Nothobranchius furzeri: one gene and its partners. The protein of the gene in region 5 purifies or fractionates together with the protein of the main gene of each other region. This does not show direct contact. Links are inferred from orthologs where the notes say so. Each region holds a gene or a part of one and is shown on either strand. Other genes may lie near its edges. The genes, in order: shprh, slf2, slf1, polh and rad18.

The links.
Region 1: the proteins of rad18 (region 5) and shprh purify together in Homo sapiens (affinity purification with western blotting; 3 studies listed by BioGRID and IntAct, with this or other methods). This does not show direct contact. The link is inferred for Nothobranchius furzeri from reciprocal best matches to the Homo sapiens genes RAD18 and SHPRH.
Region 2: the proteins of rad18 (region 5) and slf2 purify together in Homo sapiens (affinity purification with mass spectrometry; 3 studies listed by BioGRID and IntAct, with this or other methods). This does not show direct contact. The link is inferred for Nothobranchius furzeri from reciprocal best matches to the Homo sapiens genes RAD18 and SLF2.
Region 3: the proteins of rad18 (region 5) and slf1 purify together in Homo sapiens (affinity purification with mass spectrometry; 4 studies listed by BioGRID and IntAct, with this or other methods). This does not show direct contact. The link is inferred for Nothobranchius furzeri from reciprocal best matches to the Homo sapiens genes RAD18 and SLF1.
Region 4: the proteins of rad18 (region 5) and polh purify together in Homo sapiens (affinity purification with western blotting; 7 studies listed by BioGRID, with this or other methods). This does not show direct contact. The link is inferred for Nothobranchius furzeri from reciprocal best matches to the Homo sapiens genes RAD18 and POLH.

Annotation. Positions count from the first base shown.
Region 1 is NC_091758.1:20,356,604-20,361,835, forward strand, and holds the start of shprh (E3 ubiquitin-protein ligase SHPRH), read right to left. Parts: upstream 3,037-5,232; 5' UTR 2,899-3,036; intron 2,128-2,898; 5' UTR 2,119-2,127; coding exon 1,534-2,118; intron 1,325-1,533; coding exon 1,195-1,324; intron 1,124-1,194; coding exon 905-1,123; intron 790-904; coding exon 711-789; intron 196-710; coding exon 45-195; intron 1-44. Other genes in the region: grm1b (metabotropic glutamate receptor 1b), read left to right, coding at 4,387-5,101. UniProt on the Homo sapiens protein: E3 ubiquitin-protein ligase involved in DNA repair.
Region 2 is NC_091752.1:20,526,452-20,531,708, forward strand, and holds the start of slf2 (SMC5-SMC6 complex localization factor protein 2), read right to left. Parts: upstream 3,017-5,257; 5' UTR 2,896-3,016; coding exon 2,861-2,895; intron 2,155-2,860; coding exon 2,123-2,154; intron 1-2,122. UniProt on the Homo sapiens protein: Plays a role in the DNA damage response (DDR) pathway by regulating postreplication repair of UV-damaged DNA and genomic stability maintenance.
Region 3 is NC_091757.1:41,832,440-41,836,910, forward strand, and holds part of slf1 (SMC5-SMC6 complex localization factor protein 1), read right to left. Parts: coding exon 4,407-4,471; intron 3,907-4,406; coding exon 3,760-3,906; intron 3,459-3,759; coding exon 3,289-3,458; intron 3,205-3,288; coding exon 3,070-3,204; intron 515-3,069; coding exon 358-514; intron 269-357; coding exon 100-268; intron 1-99. UniProt on the Homo sapiens protein: Plays a role in the DNA damage response (DDR) pathway by regulating postreplication repair of UV-damaged DNA and genomic stability maintenance.
Region 4 is NC_091752.1:33,815,278-33,818,877, reverse strand, and holds the end of polh (DNA polymerase eta), read right to left. Parts: intron 3,463-3,600; coding exon 3,284-3,462; intron 3,207-3,283; coding exon 3,103-3,206; intron 2,992-3,102; coding exon 2,872-2,991; intron 2,633-2,871; coding exon 2,509-2,632; intron 2,345-2,508; coding exon 2,279-2,344; intron 2,165-2,278; coding exon 1,992-2,164; intron 1,905-1,991; coding exon 1,034-1,904; 3' UTR 759-1,033; downstream 1-758. UniProt on the Homo sapiens protein: DNA polymerase specifically involved in the DNA repair by translesion synthesis (TLS). Due to low processivity on both damaged and normal DNA, cooperates with the heterotetrameric (REV3L, REV7, POLD2 and POLD3) POLZ complex for complete bypass of DNA lesions.
Region 5 is NC_091743.1:47,198,489-47,203,429, reverse strand, and holds the start of rad18 (E3 ubiquitin-protein ligase RAD18), read right to left. Parts: upstream 3,231-4,941; 5' UTR 3,124-3,230; coding exon 3,073-3,123; intron 2,243-3,072; coding exon 2,164-2,242; intron 1-2,163. UniProt on the Homo sapiens protein: E3 ubiquitin-protein ligase involved in postreplication repair of UV-damaged DNA. Postreplication repair functions in gap-filling of a daughter strand on replication of damaged DNA.

The DNA of each region.
Region 1 (5,232 bases), on a different chromosome or scaffold from region 5:
TTAAATAGAAGAAAATCCAAGAAAATAAATCAAACACTCCTCACCACAGGCAGCGTGAAGGCATCCTGCTGCAGGTCCTGACGAGTGTGAAACAAGATGAGCGCCAAAACCTCCACAGTCTTACCGAGCCCCATCTCGTCAGCCAGAATCCCCCCAGGCCAGTCGACACCAGCCAGAGGAAACTCTCGAATTAAACTGGACCAGAAAGAAAACCGAACAGTTAATGGTGCAAGGGGAGTGAGCGGTAGAGACCCAACAAAGACGTAACCCATCGTAATGTCCAGTAACTAACTTATCTGGTTATTTTAATCATTAATGTTTGTAACTTTAGGACCGTTTGTTTTGTGGAAAAACAGAACAGACTTATATTTAGGTGAATGTTAGATCTCTTACTACAGAATTGTGATTTTAGGAGAAAAAGATGGAAACATGAAAGGTTTCCACCGCTTGGTAACAGTTTGTTCATGTTACATAATAATAAACACATCTGTAGTAGATTTTCTGTTTTGTTCCAAATCGATTGTCAATTGAAAAGTTAAAATCAAACAGCAATCAATAATGTACCCTGGACTGTTTTTACTACGGACCATGACTACGGTGGATTTAAATGGCCCCTGGACAGATTTTATTAAGTTTCGTTATTCTAGGATGTTTGTAAAAGTGTCTATATGAAGTGATTATTTAACACAAAACATTGCTTTTTCTCTTACCAGCCAGTGAAAGGATTGTAAAACAGCTTCTTGCCACACAGAGTAATTAACTCTCGCCAGAGGAAATGCAAAAACTGTTCTATAAAACAAAAAGTAAAGACAGAGTTGTACAATATGAAGCTTTGCTTAAATGATCTCTGTATTCTCAAAAACACACATAAAGTTCTCCATCTTCAAAGGCCTGGAGGGAATACCTTTAGGAGCCGTGTTCCTGTATTTCTCTCTCCTCAGCATCCAGTTGACCGCCTGGCTCTGATACCGTCTGAGAAATGGAATGAGAGCCTTGTGCTGGACATCATAGGTCGCACCCTGGTTCTCCTTCTGGTGCACGAGTCTCACGTGATCATAAAGTTCCTCCACATTCTGTCTCTCCAGGTCGGTGTCGCTCTCTTCCTCTTCATTCTCTACAACTTCTACAAAGAAAGTGTTGTTTTTATCTCGCTGCAATGGATCATAATATTACCCAGTAGGCCCACAGACCCACCAGGAATGATGAAATCGTAGAAATATTCCATTAATTTCTGCATCAGCTGATTTGCTTTCTTCAGACGAGCATTCCCCTCACTGAGGAAATCCGGCTTTCCGAGTCCAGTTTCCAGCAGGTAAATTCCCACCTGCCAAGCACAGCGATGATAATGTGTTCATTAAGAATAAAATATTAAGCAGACCTTTAAATATTGCCTTGTTTTGAATAAAAGATGAGTTTAAAAAAGGGATCCAGGGCACAAATTTGTCCATTTTGAAACGTCAATGCTTTAACGTGGTAAAATGCTAATTACGTTGTATCACAAATAAAGTAACGTTCTATCAAAGTAAGACACACCTTGACTTCCTGATCTTTGGTCTGATGGCAGAGCTGCACCACCCTCCTCTTCTGCAGCCAGTCGAGTTCTTCCAGCAGAATCCGACTGAGGTTACACTCGGCTGTACAGCTGTCGTCGTCCGGCCTCCACTGCAGATCTGAGCTCTCATCACAGCTGCTGTAACTGAGGTAGAGCTGCTCACCTTTCCTGTGAACTGTAAAAACCTTCCACTCATAGTCAGATGATAGCCAAACCGGTCGAATGATGAACTCCCCAATGAGGGCTTTCCAGATGTGAGCCAGCTTCAAAGCTGGCAGCACGGACAGTGCCAGCGAGGGCAAGGCAGAGGTGCTGTCTGAGGCGGTGCTGGGAAACTCTTCTGAAAACCGAACAGATCGGGAACAGGGAGCCTCCGTCACGTCTTCAACAACTGAGAGAAAAGAGCTGCCCGGGGTGGTGTCAACTGAAAGAATGGAACAGGATGGCGTCTGGTCCTCTTCCTGGATCTCCTCATTCTTGCGATCCTCAAACATGTTCCACTCCAACTGTCTCTTGGCATCTTCATCCACCCTCGCGGGTGGGGCCCTCTTTCTTCGGCTGCTCATGGTGACGAACTAAAACGAGAACAATAGAAAAAAAGCTTCAAGTAATTATTACTTATAATAACAATCTTCCAAAATTCTGCTATTTTGGCATTTTAACAAGTGGACAATATTCCCATTAAAATATCCCAAATGTGACTTAGAACACACACTCACTATCAACTTTATTAGGTATCTGTTTTTAAAAGCATCCAATCACGTGGCAGCTAATTAAGGGTTCAAATCAAGAAATGAGATTTAGGTGACTTCGAATGTGTCATAATTATTGAGGCCAGACAGGATGTGTATTTTAGAATTTTTAGCCACAACCACCTCTAGTTTACAGAGACTGGTCCAAAAAGGGGGAACATGTCCAGTGGGTGGCTGTTGTGTGGATGAAAATGTCTGAGAATGAGCAGACTGGCCGTAGATACGAAAAAGAAAGCATCAGCTCAAATAGACAAGGTAGAATTACTGTTAGTACTAGCTAATATCATCACTATCAAATGATAAAGTTAACGTGACAAACGTTTGGAAAACTACCGCTGCTAATGTTTACATATGCTAGCAAGCAGCTAGCCTGCTTTTCATTTTTCTAAATTATCTTTTTCTGGAAAAAGATAAATATAACTGGAAACGTGGGTGGAGTAAGACTCTGGGACAGGTGTTACTTGCCCTTTAACAAAACTTCTGTGGTTCTGTTCAGTCTTTAGCACCAAGTATTGAGCCTTGGTGCAGCATAAACAGTACTACGTTATTTTAACGTTTTCTAAACAAGATAAGTCATTTTAAAAACGTGTTTACTTTTCGAGCCTCGTTTGAACCGATCCGGTTGTTATCACGGAATCAGGAGCTGTTTCATAATGAAGCAAATCGGATCCTGAAAGCACCAAAACAGTTCAAGTGTCCACAGCAAAGTAGATGGTCGCCATTTTTTCATACAGGAAATGACGTAACTGGGTGTAGACATGTTGTACACAATAAAACTACACATTTCGTGAAAACCTAGAAACTCGCCTCTTCTTTTTTGTTGTTATGGAAAATAAGCATTAATATAAGTATTTTACAACAAATTGCACTTTAGTGTTTGTTGAAGAAAACGTGGCAATGCCAAATCAAACTTCATGAAAGTTTTATAATTTCTCTAATTACAGCTAATAATTGTGAGTTTTGGGAACTGCTATTTTGTGGCCATATATATATATATATATATATATATATATATATATATATATATATATATATATATATATATATATATATATATATATATATTGTTATCGTATTTAATTTTTGTAGCTTTACATTTGAAGATGCAGTCGTTGTACCGGATGCTGGCCACATGATGTCAGTAGAGAGTGAACCTTTTTTTCTGTTGCAGCAGTGAACTGCATCATCTCCACGACGCAGAGGGGATGATTCACGTGAAGTTTGACGACTCCTTTTATAGTAAGTTGTCCCTTTGGCGCGTGAACACCTTCACACCTCACATTCATTCAGCACAGCTATGCAGGCGTATCAGGTTACACCATCTCTTTTCGTTCATTTTCATTCATTTTTTGTGTTTTTTCAGTGTGCACCTGAACATTTCGTTATTTAAATGTCACTTTTCCTGCGTCATTGTCTCACCGGCATTTATAAACTGAGGACTGAAATCAGGGACACTGCAGTGAGTGTGACCCGCTTTTAGGATGCAGTGAGGAAGAGAAGAGGTGTGCAGCTAGGGAGCGGGAGGGAGAACGACACCGTGTTTTCTCGATGGAAGAGCTGGAGTCCAGTCTGTCTGAAACACACGAGACAGCGGATCCACTGTTTTCTGAGCTGCGTGGTGCAGGTGAGTAAAGTCATACATGCATACACTTAAAAATGCTGGAATTTTTAGCCTGATTTTGTTGGTTAAGCATCACCACAGGATTGCATGAATAATGTGTACAGTTGATGATGAAAAGCCATTCTGGCAGTGTGCATGTGTCTCTTATGTGATGCTTTCCTGGTAAAAGTTGAGGAAAAAAGACGGCAAAATATGTTCATTGCTCATTTGTAGGAGCTGCTGTCCGTGGTGCTGAAATCTAAAGATGTCCCAGTTTTAGAAAACTTTAGTCCTCAAAATCTGCCTGTTGTCTGTTTAGAGCTACACTGTAAAATATCTCAACTAATACTGCTTATTGTCTCACATACAGGATGAAATCATGAAGAAGCAGATTGGTGACATTTCTGATCTATACATACAGGACTGATGGGTCTCTAATTTGGCTGAAGAGACATGAATCTTTATTCATCACCTTCGGTATAATGTCAAACATGTTCTGCCTGACTGCAGTGAGCATTTTGTATTTGCCCGTTTTACTGTTTGAGGCATTTGTTTTGTCCAAAGGGAAGTATGAGAGGTCAGTCGTCCCAAGTTCTGCCTCTCGCCTGGTGGCCAGAATGGATGGGGACATTATAATTGGTGCACTGTTTTCCGTACACCACCAGCCATCAGCTGAGAAGGTGGCAGAGAGGAAATGTGGAGAGGTCCGTGAGCAGTATGGCATCCAGCGGGTGGAGGCCATGTTCCACACCCTGGATCGAATTAACTCAGACCCAAACCTCTTACCTAACATCACCCTCGGCTGTGAGATCCGGGACTCCTGCTGGCATTCCTCGGTTGCTCTGGAGCAGAGCATCGAGTTCATACGAGACTCTCTCATCTCCATCCGGGATGACTCTGAGGGATCTAAGTGGTGCATCGAAGGGGTGCCCTCCAGTCAGCCGCCATCAACCAAGAAGCCCATTGTAGGAGTCATCGGACCTGGCTCAAGCTCAGTTGCAATTCAAGTGCAAAATCTTCTCCAGCTGTTCAACATCCCACAGATTGCTTATTCCGCCACCAGCATCGACCTGAGTGACAAGACCTTGTTCAAGTACTTCCTCAGAGTGGTACCCTCAGACACTCTTCAAGCCAGAGCTCTGCTGGACATTGTCAAGAGATACAACTGGACCTATGTGTCTGCAGTTCACACAGAGGGTAAGGCATCATTTATACTCAGTATTAGGCAAGTCAGCTTCATTTAAATAGCACATTTGATACACAGAAGATATTCAATGTGCTTTCCAGGAGCAAGCACATAAAATAAGAAAATCAATGTGATAACTTAA
Region 2 (5,257 bases), on a different chromosome or scaffold from region 5:
GCTGGTCATGTGGTGTTAATCGCCCCTCGTAACCCCCTGTACAATACACGACCGCTCGGCGCAAAACTCGCCCCGATGTCGTGGATTCTCACACGACTGGAAAATCGGCTCAAAAAAGTGAAAAAGTCGCACAGTGTACGCCCGGCTTTAAATCTCTGTTGGCACGCCATTACAGTGGAGACTTGCTGAAGTTATTATCTCCAGCAAGGACACTTACGCCCCTTTTCCAACAATGCTACTCAGTCTAACATGGGTCGAGTGTAGTTGGTTTTCCTTGCCAACTCTGACAAAAAAAAAAAAAAAAAAACTCTAGTGGGTGTGCTCGTCATAGCGCATAGGGTGGGGGGACCTTGGGCACTTGCGCTAACATTGGCTGGTTCTGTGTGCTAAGCACTGAAAAGTTTGGGGAAAATACTGAAACCCTGCTGTTGGAAACAGCTGTCCAACAGAACAGAACCCATCCAAGTCACAATGGGTGGTGCTGTTGGTAGTGCTGATTTTTATTGGTAACACATTTCTCCCCTTTTTTTTTAATTAGGTTTATTTTGCAAAGTGCCATTCACTTTATATTCATTCAGTACTTTGATCAACATTGTTGTTTTAAATGTGTTCTGTAAAAAAAATGTTTGGAGCAGTAAGAATAAAATGGTATAAAAATTCTATGTCTCCAAAAGGTTGAGTACATATCAGTTACTGAGATGCAAAATGCCCACAAAGTTACTGAAAGCCAAATGTAGCAGGGTGATCGTTTGCAGCTGGGGGATGCTGCTTAACCATTCACCTGTTGAGGGCGCCCTGTTATAAGGACAGGTTTGTTCCCTTGGGTGATCACCTCTCACTAAACTTGGCGTTTACAACCGGGATGTCGAGCCGGTCGAGTATGTGGCAGTGCTTGGAACTCAGCGCAAACTATAAGTAAAATTATCCCTTCGGTGTTAGCGACTTGGGAGTCTGTGTTAATCATATTAATGCTCTAGTGGTGGCTGGTATCTGATCAGTCAGCTCTGGGACGTACCCGTGTTTCGCCGGCTCAGTTGGGCAAACCAACGTCTAAGGTATGTACCCTGCTTTTTTCATCATTCAGCTGCTCATTTTAATTAGCTTTTGGCTCATTTTAGAGTATGCACCTCCGCAGACTTTGCTGTTTTGCTTCTCCGGATTTTTATGATTAGTTCCCAGCTCCCACAAGTAGAGGACAGGAGCTCCCGGCATCGCCTGGCGTGCGGGTGCTTGGATGTGACAGCGGCCGGTCCCGCTTGACCTATACCAGATCGGATCCACGGCGGCCAACGACATCACCTCCTAGACTAGACTGTAGTGGGACTCCACTCAGGTCCAAGGAGGACCACCTCTCCGGTGTCTCCAGCAGTAAGAACTTTCGAGCTGTTTAGCTCTTTGTGCGTGGTGCACGTCTGGCACACATCTGAGCAAGACTGATTGCTCTTTTAAATAAATAATTGAAATTTTTTTTAACTTATTTCAGACAGCCTGCAACTCCTGGCTGGTGAGCTAGCAGGCTGTCCATCTTTTTATAATTTGTTTAGCCAACTGCTTGTTGGTTTTGTTTTTAACAGTTTCTTTCTTTTTTTGCAGGCTGTTTGATCCCAGTGGGGTACCATTGGCCTTGGTGGCGGGAGTTTTCCACGTGTGTGTGTGTTCCTTCACCGTGCACCTCCTGGATGCATGGCACTGGGTGTGTATTTTTTTGGTAGGCTGAATTAGACCCTGGTAAGCTTCAGCCTATTCAGGTTAATTTAGTCTCTTTTATATTTTAATAAAAAGCATGTTATTGGTCAGACCACGTCTCCTGCCTGATCTGTAGAGTGGACCTGTGTGTCTTTATTTCCTGGGGTGTAACTCCCCAGGTGGCCATGTGTGCTACTGGCAACTACTGCAATCCCTGATGCCACACAAACAAAATCTGAAATGTTTTGTTAAACTGTACAAAGTGAGTTAGAAGCTTTTGACACCAGTAACCTCAAGATCTCCTATTTATTATGTAATAACAGAGTATGTAATAACGTTTTTGACAATTATGAACAATAACCGACAGCAACAGCGTCACATGTGTTTTGCCTAACAGAACACAGTAATGGCGTGACTCGACGATGTTTCGACTCACCCTTCCTCGAAGAATGCTTCTCTGCAAGAGTTCTGCAGGAAAATCACAGAATCAGTTTCATTACGAAGAAAAACTCGACTAACACATCATATGTTAGTACTACTGCTATTATTGTCTCTTGTTTTTATTTTCATGATTATTTTGTCTCTTGTGCTTTAGCGTCATATGTACTTATTTCATTTAATCTTATCTATACTAGGTGTTTTTTTCTACTTCTGTGAATTTGACCAAGTCTGGAATAAAGAATACTTGACCTGACTTGTTAGCTTCAGCTAACAAATGTGAAACAACTCGGCATTTTGTTAAAAAAAAACTATAAATCACGGAATGATACGCGAGCTGATAACAGCAGCTGACATTTTAAGAGTTTAATGTGTTTACACTGACACATGGTGTTGTTACTTTGACGAAAATAAGACACAAAACTGCAGAAAAATCGAAAGCCATGTTTTGCTAGCGGTTGGATGGAATTGATTAGCTAGCTAACGTTAGCAAGCAGGAAAAGATGAGAAACGATTGAGTGCACGATGGTAATATTTAGCAATAAAACACACAATTGCACCACAACATTTGTCTTAAAACATTAATTGCAAGACTCCTTGACACAAACTTTAAAATACACATATGTCTCAACGGCAGGACAAATACATTAAAAACAAACGATTGCTAGGTAGGAGCAAGTCTGTTTCAGGAAGTTCTTTAGCTAGGTGGCTGGCAACGTGGTCTTTGTTATCTTACCTCGCAAAGTCGTGATTTTCCGTTGTTTTTTTCATGTTCTGAATAGTGACCTTTGTTCACGAACTGCATTTGAAATAACAAAGCCGAAAATCTCGCCGTTGCTGATGCAAATCCGTCTCCCGCCTGCCTCATTTAGAATTCTAGGATGTCCAAGGAAGGTCCCACCTTTCTCGCCTCTGATTGGCTGGAAGGGCTCTACTACGATTGGCTATTTCGTGTAAACAGTTTCCCCTCTCTGCAGGTTTTTGTGTTTACAGCCAGATCTCGAGGAGTTATTTGAAGAAAATGTGAACTCATCGCTATAATAAACATCCTTTCCTGTTTAGCAACAAACCAGGTTCAGTTTCTTTCATAAAAGAGCCTGAACAACATCAAATGTGAACTTGTAATAATTCTTGTAGCATTTTATCACACTGTAGACTGACTTTATATCTGTTGGCTCTATTGGGGTTATCTTAGTACTTCATTATTAGGCTATTCTGCTTTAATAGGTTAAGGCTGTTTACAAGTTAGAGCACATCTCTCATCATCAGATTAAATGTACTGTATATCATTTAATCAAAAATGAAGCTAAAGCTGATTATGATTTAGACCTATTTTTCACCAATTTTCATTATTCTAGAGAAAGAACAGACCTGATGCACACAGCTGGGCAGAATAGGGCAGATTTATTAAATTTCATACCCAGGTAAGGCACATATGCTTCAGAGCCAAGAGTCCAACAGTTAGATAAATGCAACAAGGTTTAAAATTCACATTTTACGTATTTCAGTTTTTTAATGCAACATAAAACATTAAATATTTTGCAAACCAGGACAGAATATTTATTCTAGCGCTAAGTTCACATTTTATTTACTAAACTCCACAAAACAGCTTTCTGCTGGAGGCAGGTCACAGTCAGCACTTAGCGAGGACAGCCAGTTTGCTGCTAAATGAAATAACCAATCGTAGTAGGGCATTTCTAGCCAATCAGAGACGAGAAAGGCGGGATCTTCCTTGGACATCGTAGAATTCCAAATGACGTCTCCCGCCTGCATGCGCGTCACTCACGAATTGCATTATGGTACTTGAAGACAAAATTCAAGCATCTAGCTCAAGCCCCCACAAGTGAGGCCAATTGGCGTGGCATTACTTTATTTAACAACGATTACAAAATTCTAGCATCAGTAATAGTCAGACGACTAAAATATGGAATTAGTGATATAATCCATGAATCCCAAAATGGCTTATACCTTGAAGCATGCTTTGTGAATCCCTTGTAATTTTCCAGTGCTGTTTTCCAATTATTAAATCCTTGTTTTGTGAAAACCAAACCCCTATCATTGTTCTTCCCCCCAAACTTACGACATGGGAAACAAAAGCACGCATTCAGCTTTACTGAGTATTCCAGCCAAGGTCTCTCACGATACCAGGCAGGGTAAAATGAGCGCATGTTCTCCCCAAAATGGCACTTGGGGAAAACAAGAGCGGTGGGTTGGGACGGTGCCCTACTGCTCAGGCCTGTGGGTGACACATTCCGACAAGATGGCGCCGAGTATGGCTGCCTCGTCGCGAGCTCCACCAAGCAACAGCTGTTTTTTGTGTTTACTACTTTTTCTTTTTCTTTATTTTTTCACGAGTAGCACATGTATCCTTGTGTACGACCGACAAACCTTACTGGACATAAAAGACGGATTTTCTCATTACTTTCCGGAGTCCAGGGTTTTCATCACGGACCCGCCGTTTGCAGATCCCACATTCATCTCACCTGAGACGCCTTTGTTATGGGCCTGTGGAGGCCGCAAGCGCCGACGCAGAGGGAGAAGATCTGGCGTTCTGGTTCGACTGAGACGGCGCACTAACAGACCACCATTACCCAGTTTACTACTGGCTAATGTGCAGTCCCTGGAAAACAAGCTGTGCGAGCTTCGGGCTCGGATCTCATTCCAGCGAGAGATGCGGGACTGCTGTGCGATCTGCCTCATAGAAACCTGGCTATCGGACAAAGTACCGGACACCGCAGTACAACTACCGGGGTTCTCCGTGCACTGCGCGGATAGGTCACAGGAGCTTACTGGGAAAAGCAGAGGTGGCGGTGTGTGTTTCATGATCAACAACAGCTGGTGTGATTATGCAAACGTGCACCCGGTCAAATCCTTCTGCTCTCCGGACCTGGAGTACCTGATGATTAAGTGCCGGCCATTCTGGCTACCGAGAGAATTCACAGCGGTTATTATTACGGCTGTTTTCATTCCCCCACAAGCCGACACTGACCGAGCGCTCAGGGAACTGTACAGCGCAATCAGCAATGAGGAAACCGTACACCCAGAGGCGGCGTTTATTACGACCGAGGACTTTAATAAGGGTAACCTGAAGAAAGTCTCACCAAAACTACACCAACACATCCATTTCAATACA
Region 3 (4,471 bases), on a different chromosome or scaffold from region 5:
TAATGTTTTAAGCCTCCTGAATCTGATTATTAATTAAAGGAAAAAAAAAGAGGAATCTGACAACAATCTATGGACATACTCTGTGTTTTTGTTGCATACCCTGGCTAACAACTGCGAAATGCTCTGATAGGTCTTTGAGGCCCTTTTCCACCAAGTGCTGATTGAGTCTGAAATGCTGCTGACACCAGAACTCCACCAACACGGACAGCAGATGCAGCATGGTGTCTGCCAAATGCAGCTTCTGCGTCTCCTCCCTCTCAGCCCCGCCCTTCGACGAAGACAAGCAAATTCACAGAAATGAACTAAAAACAGCCATAACACTTAAAAAAATACATAGCCGGTAAATAAAGCGCCTACCATGTTAGCAGCCTGCACTATGAGCTGAGTGAGCTGCTTCACAGATCGAGACAACAATGTGGAGCGTTCCCACACAGTCCAGAAGGTTCCATACAGCAACGAACCAGAAGAAAATGTGGAGGGGGCTTGTGTCGCCTGGTGCCGCACAAAGTCTCTGCTGGAGGGAAAGGTTATCATGTTTCTGATTCTTACTCTGCAGGAAAATCCATTCTTGTAAGTGAACATAAGAATATGTAGGGATGCACGATATATCTGTATCAACATCTGTATCAGTCTGATGGGCACAACTGGAATGCTCAAATGGTCTTGTTCACTGAGAAACAGTGTAGTATTGCCTCAGTTTGAATTAAAATCAGTCACTCTGAGTTTCACATAAATCCATCCATCCATCCAACCATTTTTAGCCGCTTATCCCGAGTCGGGTTGCAGGGACAGCAGCCTAAGCCGAGAAGCCCGCTTCCCTCTCCCCAGCTACTTGGGCCAGCTCCTCCAGGGGAATTCAATGTATTCCCTGGCCAGCCGTGATATAGTCCCTTCAGCGTGTCCTGGGTGCTCCCTTGGGTCTCCTCCCAGTCAGATGTGCCCAGAAAACCTCACCAGGGAGGCGTCCAGGAGGCATCCTGACCAGATGGCCGAGCCACCTCAACTGGCTCCTTTTGATGTGGAGAAGCAGCGGGTCTACTCCGAGCCCCTCCGAGATGACCAAGCTTCTCTCCCGTTCTCTAAGGGAGAGCCCAGCGATCCTACGAAGAAAACTCATTTTGGCTGCTTCTCTCTGCGATCTTGTTCTCAGCCTGCCGGCTCAGCGCGCTCTTCACTACGACAGACCTGCGTTTGTGCCACCACACTTGGTAGTAATATAACCACAACGCCAGACTTGCGAATGCATATTACGCCTTGGCACAACAGGGGTAGGTGTCATGATCACGTGGGGAGTTACTGCCAAGCTTCAACCGGCAACTCTATTTAAAATGAAAGTAAAACAGGCAATAAGTTTCAGTTTTGTTTCCAGAACCAGCTGAGATGATAAAGTGGAGCGATGCAGAGCTCCAGGAGCTTCTCTCCATTAGCGCTGGAGGTCAGATCACCAGAGACTGAGTGACAGCCACCTCTAGGAGCGGCTTAGGGCTGCACACTGTATCGCAAATATATTATCGCGATATCAGCATGCGCAATATGCATATCGCAAAGAACAGCTAAATATTGCAATGAATGGTCAACTAAAATGTTTGCTACGCATAATTCATTCTGTCAGTCAAACAAAAGCATGACATTTTTTTGAACAAATCAAATATAGCTCTTCAGCCATTTGGCCAATTGGGTGGGTTCTCATAGGTTAGATGCCCACCCCCCGAGGTGGAAGGAACTTAATTTGGATGGTTAGCCAACACCTGAGTTAGCTTTGTTCTGCTCTTTCTGCTGATTCTGCTTTTCCACTGATCCACTGATTACCTTTTCTTGTTAATTTTCTTTTTCCCTTTCCTCACATCTTTTGCTTCTCTCATTTTTATGATTTTTTGTCATGATTTAATTTCTTTGTTTTTGATTATTTTTGCCCAAGTTAAGTTTTTATTTATCGCAAGTAATATCGCCATCGCAATATTAATCACTGTTATGGCATATTGCAGGTTTTCCTAATATCGTGCAGCCCTAGAGCGGCTTGTCAGAAAAATGTAAGGAGCATGGCTTGGATCGCAATAAAAAGCAAGTTATGTCCAAGTTAAACGGAAGTCAGCGGCAGTGCTGAGACTACCCCCATACCCCCTTTATACCGTAATCTTTTGTAAAAAAGGACACAATTACTGCCACGGTCTGAACAATTCTAAACAACATAAGGCTCCCTGATGCCAGCTCGGTGTTGGGGCAAATTGGCGGCATTGTTTTCTTAGATGCTTTTGACACCTCCTCCTCCTCCAACAAACTTCTACCTCATGAAAAAAGAGCACCAGAGCTTTTTTTTTCCTCATAGAAAATGACTCACAAAGCATTAGTCCATACTAGAGACCACAGCAGATGCAGTGAAAAAAAACTAGTGAATGAGACACTTAACGACTGATGTTCATTTCCATCTTGTTGCAGTTTGCATCTGTTTCAGGAGGGCTAGGGGGTTGGTTAAAGAGCAAGTCACTCCAAATCAACATTTTTTTGCTGATAAACTATATAAATGAGTGTCTGATCGTGCTGCAGACACGTGTAGTCAATAATTCGGCACTTTAGTGCATCTTAGTTAAAATTTAAATATTCTGCCTAAAACTGTCAGTGTTGCACCGTCATCAGGTAAAAACTCTGCACTGCATTTGAATTTAAATCTGCCGTCGCTATTGGCTAAGAGGTATACTATGATGTTAGATGGTGCATTATGATGTCACAGTGTTGTGAGTGTGTGTATTTGTTAGCGGCTCCACCCTCTCGGTCTGCTAGGCAAAAGCATTTGTTGCATTTTTCAAACAGGATGTGGGAGTTGAGTAAGAATCTGGTAGGGGGTGACTTGCTCTTTAAGTGTTATTTGTTCAAGCATGTGATAGTGACACAGCTCAGGATTTTGGGAGTGCTTAGGGAAGCAACGTTGGTGGTGTGATCGCTGTTACACAAAGTGTTGTCCTCATAACAGCAGTATAAATAACAGATATGGATCAAAATGATCACATTGATGAATCCCAAAAGTTAATGCTTTAAGAAAAAGATACTGACAGAGTATATTTAAATGTTTACCCGCTGGTGACAGAGTGAAGCTCCCCCTGGAAGAGCTTGAGGCAAAAAGAAAGGATGTCATAATGAAAATCAACCAGAGTCGGTAAGGTTGGTCCGGCCAGCGGGTGGCAGGTGATGTTGCTGGATAGACAGTACCTACAAAGAAAACCATTTTGCTGATCAAGTTTCAAAATGCTTAAACTGCTGATTAAGAGAAACCTTCAGGATATGTCAGATTACCTGATGGCCGTCTCCAGAAAAGGCCACAAGCCTGTCTTACACTGAGGACACTGCAGCACTTGAGCGTAGTATTTCTTCACCGAGTTGGGCGCCAGCCATGGCGGGTTGGTGAGGAGCAGGTTTTCCAAAACTTGGTGGAAGTTCCTCAGGAAGACGGATGTGGCGTTACCCTATACAATGTAAACACAGCAAGAGTTTCAGTTGATTGAAACGATTAGAGCGACTGCAACAATTTCCTGTGCGTGGAGAATTGTTAAAAAGCTTGCTTGAATCCAGCTTCTTTCTATTAAACATGTGCTTCTTTGACTGAAGCAGTGGATGTGTGCATGTGGAGCAAAATGACAGTTACTCTACAAGTCCTAGCTACAAATATTCAAAAATGTTGTGAAACCAGTGATCCACTTGCACCCCCCCGGGCTCATGCAGCAGCAGCAGGTGGGAATTTATACAGCCTGGTAATTCTAGTCTTACCTGCTGTGCGTATTGTAAGAGCGAGATCAGGTACGTCGCTGGTGGCAACAGACCAGGGAACGCCGAGCTTCTGATAGAGTCTAAGGCTTCAACGAAGAGGCCACACTCTATCATGGTACCGACGTTGCTGAAGTCTGCTAGTATCGCCTGGAGGAATAACAGAACAATGGTGAAATTAAGGGGGAGAGGAGGATATGGAAAGGAGGAAGAAACGTGGCACTCAACCAGACAGATGGTAGTAGGAAAAGGGAGCAGAAGGGTAATGGAAATAAGTAGCGAATGGGCATCAAAAGTTCCTGGGGGTCATTTCTGACCGTCGCTTATTGGCAAATAGCATACGGAGCGAGAAAGTCCTGAATGGAAATACAAGAGCACTTCTAATATCAATCTGACAGACGTCCACTTGGGTAAAGTACGGACAGGACGGTGGAGAGTATTGTTAATAGGTCTGCCAATCAAAGCTCTCAGAGGTGGTAAAATCGGTGACCTGGTTTTGATGCGCCCTTGCTCTTGGTGTCACTTTCCATTGAAATGTATGACATAAAGAAAATTGAATGACCTGATCTGCTTGATGAAACACAGAGTTATCTTGTAGATGTATGTATAGCGGTGATCGTGGATGGGGGTGGATACGTGCGTGAGTCTACCTGTGAGTGAGGATGATGAGGGTCGTGGTAACCTAGAAACTGAAGGAAGCGCAGTCTCGGCTGGC
Region 4 (3,600 bases), on a different chromosome or scaffold from region 5:
CCGTGCCATCACAAACCAAGACTTGGGACTTTAGCGTGACTCACAACAAAAGGTGGGGTTTGTTTACAAGTGGCCCATCAGCTGATGCAAGAGGAAGCAAAAGCTGCTTGTTTGTGTTTTACAACATACCAACACTACAAAAAATTTAAATATTAACCTAAATGGTTTCAGAATTACACGTTAAGTCTTGAGATGATTTCTAGAAACAGAAACTAAATACAACTACAGTTTAAATCTTTTGTAGCATAAACATTAAAGCTGGTAAATTGTAGTTTTGTGTCGTTTCCTCTTAATGATCTAAAACTTAAATTTTTGTCCCTAAAAACACCGCAGGTCCATCTCCTCTGAGATGAAACATACGTGGTCTTTCCAATACATTGCATGGTGTGTTTCTAGAGACTGAAATCAAACTAAAACTTTCTTTCTGCAAAGGTGTTTTGTACTTTTTAATTTGACTTAATGTCAGAATTGATGACACCAGATTGGAGCTTTAGGATTGATTCCCTTACTGCTTTTGGAGGATTTAGGGGGGGATTGGTGGTGTTTGGGCAGCTGCCTTTTACATTTAGAAGAACTGATCAACTAATTGTCCAAGGACCGTGTAGGAATGACTCATTTAATTTGACTTTACAAGTTATCTCAAAGACTAACTGCGTCTTGAATTTGTAATCAAGATTCACACCGACTCCTGAACCACACTCGTCTGCACACTACTGCCATCTGCTGTTACGCCAGAACACTACAACACACTCTCTGCATGAAGTTGAAAATATTTTTTATCTGTACAGGTTTACAAAATAAAGCTCAACAACTAGAAATGCCCTTTTAAATTAAAAATAGGACCCAAAATACACATGTTAATATCCTCATGAAGCACAAAAACAACTGATTCAAAACAAGTCTTGTTGTATTCTGGTTGTCTGGCTTTCCTCTGGTAAAGATAATATAAAAACATCTTTGTGTGTGTGTGTGTGTGTGTGTGTAAATATATATATACACAATGTTCAGAAATAAATACTCATGCCCTAAATGTTTAGTTCTTTTTGAAGAAAGCATCTAGAGTACCCACACTGCCCCCTAGTGAGCGTTGTCTCTTTGGTGCAGGACCTGACTGACCTCTGGTTTTTGTTTTGCCTCGGGACGACCGAGCAGATGGAGAACCACTGGAGGAAGATGAGACGGTTAGATTTGGAGGCAAGCTTCCTGAATTTGTAGATGAAGACAGTGAATTCTGGAGGTCCAGGGCGAAGTGATAGTCACGATGCTCAGGCATTTCCCACACCAGAACCTCTACACCACAACGTTCACACTTTAAAAGGTCTCCTCCTAGCGCACTAGAAGTACTGTCCAGATGGCTTTCCGGTTCCTCCCTTACCTCTTCTTCCTGTGACTGTGTTGGTATTAACTCTGGGATCATTTTTAACTGCTGGCCAGATGCAAAAGCATCAGTGCCTCTACCGGCACATGCATCATTGTGACCTGAAGACACGTTAGAGCTTTTTTCAAGACTCTTCCTATGAAAGAAAGAGGAGATGCCAGGATGGGAGCTAGAAGAGTCAGTTTTAGAGTGGGAGACACTTTTGAAAGGAGATTTTTGTGAGTCACTTGCCATCTCCAGCTGGCAATCGGTGTCAGATTGATCGCCAACAAAAGGCGGGAGAACTTCCTCTTCTGTGTCGCTTTTAACTTGCTTTTGTTTTCCAGCTGCTTTTTGAAAGAAGGACTGAATGGTACCATGCTGACTACATGGAGGCTCTGTTTTTACGTCACAGGATGGCTGGGTGGAGGAGAACAGAGTCTGGGTTGAAGTTCCTTCACTGGACAGAAATCCAGCAATCCCCCCAGCAGACGGAGCATCACTGAATTTACTAGCAGAGATGTGTAGCAGGGTGAGGGGGGGAGACCTGGAAACATGTCAGACACATGATCTAAATCATGCAGCATTCCCTCAAAACATACATCAGCCTTTTACGTCATCGCTCTTTAATTACCACGCAGCCTGGTGGTTTCCTGCTTTGTTGAGACTCTTGATCAGAGCAAAGCTGTCACTTGATATTTTGGTCGCCTCGTAGCGTGCTAAAGCACAGCATCGAGAGAAGCCGGTCGGCCGCTTATCGCCAAGCTGACGCACGCCAACCGTCAGCTGCTTTGCCACACGATTATTCTGTAGTGCAGCCAGAAAACACGGGTGTGAGACTAGTGGCGTGCTACAGGAATACGAGGACACAACGAGCCAAGCTGTAATGAAAAAAAGCGATTACATTTAAATAATTCTCACCACTTCTTTGTCTTTGGCCAGCCTCTCCTCCAACTCCAGGGCCAGCTGATGAAGCCAGTACTGCACCTACACGGAGGTTTGATTTCAGCATCAGGACAATCTTTGCAAATAATAAATGGAACTAAATAATGACATTTCTCATAGTTCTGGTGTCTTTTCCCCCCACGTCAGAGGCATAAACCTTTCAGAGAGTAACAGATTATGTTGAAATACTTTTGACAGTCCTGTACCTGATCCTTAGTAGCCAGTGACGTCCTCCCGGGAAAGTTTTTACTGCAGCCAATGGACTTGGGAAGCTGTCTGGGTTTCACAGGTTCAAACTCGATCCCCCGACACAGGTCAAACAGCCACTGGCTGCAGCGTTATGTTGGTCATAGAGAATTTAAAAAACATGTCAGCAGTTAAGGTCCATTTCAAATAAATACAATTCTGTGTGAAAAATGTCAACCAGACTGTCAGAAAACTTAAAATGGTTATTTGAATTATGTTTTATTTTCACACCCCAAAGTCCCAAATCTCTAAATCTAGTCTCGAACTGTCCTACAAGTAGACCTTTTATTCGCCAGTAATCCTGTGAAACTGCATTTTCTCACCCCGTTTTTTCTCCAAAGTGCTGCCCCAGTTCAGCCTGAGAGAACCGAGTGAGATCTCCCATGTTCTCCACTCCCAGGGTTTCTGTAATCGACACGCCCAGCTTACCCCCCAGGTTTCGACTGCACAGGAGAAATTAAAAGTACACGAGTACAGACTTGTATTTTTCCACTGCTACATCAGAAGATCGGCGTTTTTGTGATGATTAAATTCTTGTGAGACTTTAAACTCACATTTTACTGACAGGCAAAGAGCTGAAAAGTTCCCCCACAGAGTCCAAAGGTAGAATGGTTTGTCTGTTAGGTTTGTTCAGCCCACAGGCCAGCTTTGCCAACACCTTAAAAGTAGATGGTAGACCATGATGGCTGCAATAAAATGAATGTGGCGTCTGAATTGTAATAGAATTTACCGTACCTTGTTGTGTGATATTCCCGCTGAGCAGCGGAAGCCTGTGTGTTGTTCCACAGCTGCTCTCATTTCCTCAATAATGAGAGCCCCCACGGTTAGCTGCAGCTCTGCAGAGCTGTGCTCCCCCGAAGATGGAGCAGGTAAAGATGCCAGCCACTGGAGGAGACCTCTGGATCTCTTCTCCTCTGCGGATAAAAATCAAGACTATTTACACAAATTCAATTTATAGTTTTAACATTTTAGATGATGTTACTTCCAACTAGGGCTGAAACGATTCCTCGAGTACCTCGAATAATTCGAGTACAAAAAATCCTCGAGTCAAA
Region 5 (4,941 bases):
GTTTTTATTTCTACAGACTCTCATCATCATCCTCCTCACAATCCTGACTGGCTTCCTCCAGTTCACACACAGCAGAGGACAACTTTCTGATGTTCTCTGCTGTTAGAATGTTTATCAAACGCTGGATGACTGAAGTTTTTAGTGCCTATGTAAAAGGCGCTGTTTTCGTCTGCCAGGGTGGGATTTTCACGGCATAATCTGCATCACATCTCTGTGCGTTCATCGTTTGTTTGAAGCCAGCCGACCTCCTGCAGCCACTTCTCCGTGAATACTCTTTTCTTTTGCGTTTCCGACTCAGTCTGGCGTTTTTTGGAGGCGGAGGAACACCAAAATAATTACTTAATGGAGCTTGCTTCTTGGACATCTTTAAAATGCTCCAGAAATGTCTTTCTTCTTTCTTCCTCCACAAAATCTTAGGTGTGCAAATGTGTGCTGCAGCTTTTTTCAGGTGCACGTTGTTTATTTTGACAGCGCATGCACACCTGCGGACCACTTATGTGCACACCTGTATATATATATCTGTTTCACAATGAACTAGGTCTTGAAGCTCCTGTGATATAAATATTCTGACAATACAAACTTATTTTATTCTGATAAAGATCTTTTATCTTCCTGCACTCAGAATGAGAAGGAGCTTTTCTTTTCTCTCTCGTCCTTTATCATCCCAAGGCTTTGTCTCGGAGCAATTGTTTGGATTCTTTCTGGAAATTTTTACATTTTAAAACCATGGAATTGGTAAGCTGGCCTTTGAATGCAATTCATACAATTTTTTCCCAACATTCACAATAGAGAAGGGAGCGCCCACATGCCCAGACGAAACGCACATGGTTGCACACATTTTGGGTTCCTGGTAGGAGTGGAATATTAAGTGTCTTTTATTGTTTTATATGGAGAATGCAGAAGACGTATGGATATTTGTATTTATGGTTACCACATTTCTGCTAATTGGAGTGGGTGGCAGTGTTTCCCCTACATAGACTCAGACGTGGGGCTGCACACAGTGCACGCATGCACCCGCACAACAGCTATTACTATTTCGGTTTTGTCCCCTCTGGCCACCTACACCCTCCCTAAACTGTTTACAACTCATCCTCAGTCCCCATAGCTTTTATTTTGGCTGTCTTTTTCATAACCCATCCCCTCCACTAGTCTCCTACCACTTTTACTAATAACTGATAGTTTATTGTACTGCTGTTTTATATCATGTGTTACTGTAATTATGTTGATCATTGTATGCTTGTTTTTGTCTGAGGAACACTTAGGGACAAGTGCGATATAAAAAAACTTCTTAATTTAGGATCCATTAAGGTTTTGTTAAAACATCCCGTGTATCATTGATGAATATTGCAGGGAAAAGCATGTTTGGTAAATAAGCACGTGGTTTTATATTACCTGTTAAGAGCAGTCAGATTTCCTGACACACCAAAGTGACGTGAATCTCTTACAGAAACAAGAGAAAGCTTTCCTCTTAAACTTATTGCCCACTTTGTCCTCGACGGGGAAAACAATTAACAGACGAGTTTGTGCAGGAGAACCAAGATTTATGTCCTAAAATAACGTTTCAAAGATTGGTATCTTCTGGAGGAAACAGAAGGTGGCTCTCAGAGGCAATAGCAAGTGGACTTTTGATGAAGAGCATCTTCTCCCATTGGAGCTATACTAAAAGAGACTGAAGGGTTCAGATTTAAACATTGAGGGACGCTTTCAGCAAACCCACAACAACTTCTCTAGAAATTGGTTTGAGGAGTACAGCAGCTGTTATGAAACTATACGAAAAAATGATAAAAATGACAAGAATAAATAAATTAGATAAAGCATTTCATAATACAACAATTAAATAGATACAATTTCTATATTGAAATATTTAAAAAGACCTGAAAGATGGAATAAATTAAACTTTCACTAATTCCATAACAGCTTCTTACAGCAGCTGTTAGAATGTGTTTCTTTGTTGCCCACCTGCCTACAAACTTAAACACACAGTTGGACGGAGCCTTTCATTGTGCTTTTAAAGAGAATTCCAGCAGTTTTCTTAAAGATTTTACTCTATTTTGCGTGACTAACAGCCACTCTGAGGTCTTTATTTCACACACGATGACACCGCTTTCCCAGATCTCTAATGAGCGTGTATTTATTCTAAAAACGTCTCAGCTTGATACTTACAATTGTGTGAGCACTTAGTCATCATTGTAATGTTGAGGAAGTCGAAGCAAATGGGACACCGAAGCAAAGTATCAATGCTCTGTGGATGAAAAAAGAAAAAGTGTCAAGACATTCTGCAGCACAACAGTGTCTGGTCTCGTCTACCACAAGTACTAATGAGGAATGTGTTTGAGAATCTGACCATAAAATGTGTCAAAGCTCGTGTAAACGGCAGCAAATGCTCAGCTGGTGGCAGTGATTTCACGTGCTAAATTTCTAGCTCACCATATAAAGTCAGAATGTTGTTTTTGATAAGCATTGTTTTGGTTATTCTTTGTAGAAATCTGTAAGTGCTGATATAAAAGATCATTTGACTAATGCATCCAGTAGCAGGTAATTATTTTTGATGAACCAAAAAGTACATGAGTTTTGTATTTTATTCATAAAGTAACATTCGTTTCTCAATTATTCTGCTTTATAGATAAAATTGACGCAATAAAATGTAACGATTGGAACGTTTTCACAATCTCAAATGTTAAACCAGTCACCAATTTAGTAGTGATGTGTTACTGTAGATAAAAGCCCTTCACAAACAAAGAGCACAACAAGCAGAAACCTGTAATAAATTTTTCTAACCACTAAATTATGTTAGAGCATCGCTAGTTATGAGTTTGCTAAACCACAGCCGAGTTAGTTGCCATTAGGTAACGTAATATAAATACACAAATAAGGCCAGACAGTTACAGCACAAATACCTAAATTAATTTCTACATAAGTACCTTTAAATTTACAACTTTTGGCGTGTTTCGCGCGGGTGCTAGTTGAAACATTAGCTGTTGCCACCGGCTGTTGCGCAACCCTTAGCTTCGGAGCTACGTGGGAATGTAAACAAAACCCGAATGTTTTTACGATAAAACAGTGATTACTTACTTTCAGACATGCTAAGCTAGGCGGGAAATCCTCTGCGGTCTGATGGGCCATGTCTGCGAGACACGTTTCTGATGTATAACAAAGTTGTTTATCTCACAGATTCAGGGGTCAGTATCCCGCTCGAAAGGATGCAAACCGCAAACTGACGTCAATTAACAACTTCCGCCGACGCGCCGAGACGTTTACTGCTAGTCGCGGAGCTGGGACGACTTACGGAACACTGCCCACAATTTTAGTCAGAATTTAGGACTAGAAACCATGAAATATGTCTTTTCTAATTCGTTTGTCACTCACTTCTTTTTACTTTTTGTTTCTCTATTGGGGAAATCAGAATTTTCAGCATAGATGAAAGAAAAGCAGAAACTAAGGACATAAATTTGGATTATCTTATTTCTGAGGTACATGTAATGCATCACAAAACCAAATGAAGTTTGTGGAAACTGTTATTTTCAAAAGAAAAAGCTGTTTTTTAGTGCTGATATTTCAGTGTTTCGATTGATCACATCAATTCTGACATGAATATAAGGTTTGAGTAAAATAATTTAAAAATAATTAGATTATTGATTGAATTCTGTTCTAAAGTTTCTTTGACGTGTCACAATATAGGCTAAGTCTTTGTTATTGTAGTTATTTTAACGTTTGCCTCACAGTACTTTCTTTAATAGTGTATCAGATTCCCAATTAAGTTGTCTTTCTTTTAATAAATGTTTTCATTATTGCAATTTCAGTTAAAACCCTACATATTCTTAATGTTTTATTGTTGTGAGCTCTGGCGTGCATGCTATATTTCATAGTAAATGTGGAGGTTTCCCCCTTAATAAGATGCATAAATGTTTCTTGCAAAATGTACAACTCTAATAATAGGCTGACAAATAGAAAAAGTTAAATACACTTGTTTTGTTGCAGGGTAAGAAAGAATTTCTATGTTCCACCAGAAAACCAGTGAATAGAGAAAATGTGTATTCTAGAACAACTGGCTCAGTTTTGTAGTGAAATAGAGTGATGTAACGATCTAGAGTTGTATTTTAATATACTGTAAGTAGATCTAGTTTTTATAATCAGAAGAATAGGTTGTTTTTATCATCAGGGAGTTCATTTAACACTCTGTATTGACCTTGAGACAAGAAAAGAGAGAGTTGGGATCGTTTAAGAATTTTATTATAAATTCTACAATCTATCAGGACTAACTCTGTGTTGTTTGGAAATGAATGTGATGTTCAATGTGTGTGTGTGCGTGTGTGTGGTTGGTTCAGACTCCTTAGGCTGACGTCATTGAATCTGGTAGTCTTTGATTGTTATGACTAGATATCACGAGGCTTATAAAGTGATGACATGAGCTGCTATTTTGCCGTGTACGTACCCAGTGGGGGCCTCCCAGGTAGATCAGGAAATGCCAGGTCTGAAGACCTCGGATGTGCGCTGGAGCTGGTTGAAACCGCGGTCACAGCGTTTCAAAGCCCGTCTGAAGGGTCGACCCAGGTAACAATCGGCAGCGTCAGCAGGTGCTCTTATTTTGAAAGGATGTCGTCTGGTTGTTAAACGACGAAAATCTCCAACTTCACAGTTCTTAGTTTAAAGAAGAAAACACATCTGGCCAGGCTGTGCTTCTCTTTGGGATGACGGTGAATAGAACTGAAGTCAAAATGGAACTGAGCTTAAAATGGCGTTGCCTTGTTTTATATCTCTGAATTGTTGATAAGTTTTAGTAAAGCGGATTGGACACTTTAAGTCAACAAGCCAGATTCTCTTGCGGCAGCCGAAGGCTCTGATTGGTTGGAGCAATGTGTCATGCGTTGCCATGGGGATGAGTGTCAGTCTGTCTGTGCATGTCGTCCTGTTTACTCATTAAACACATAAATCATGACATCT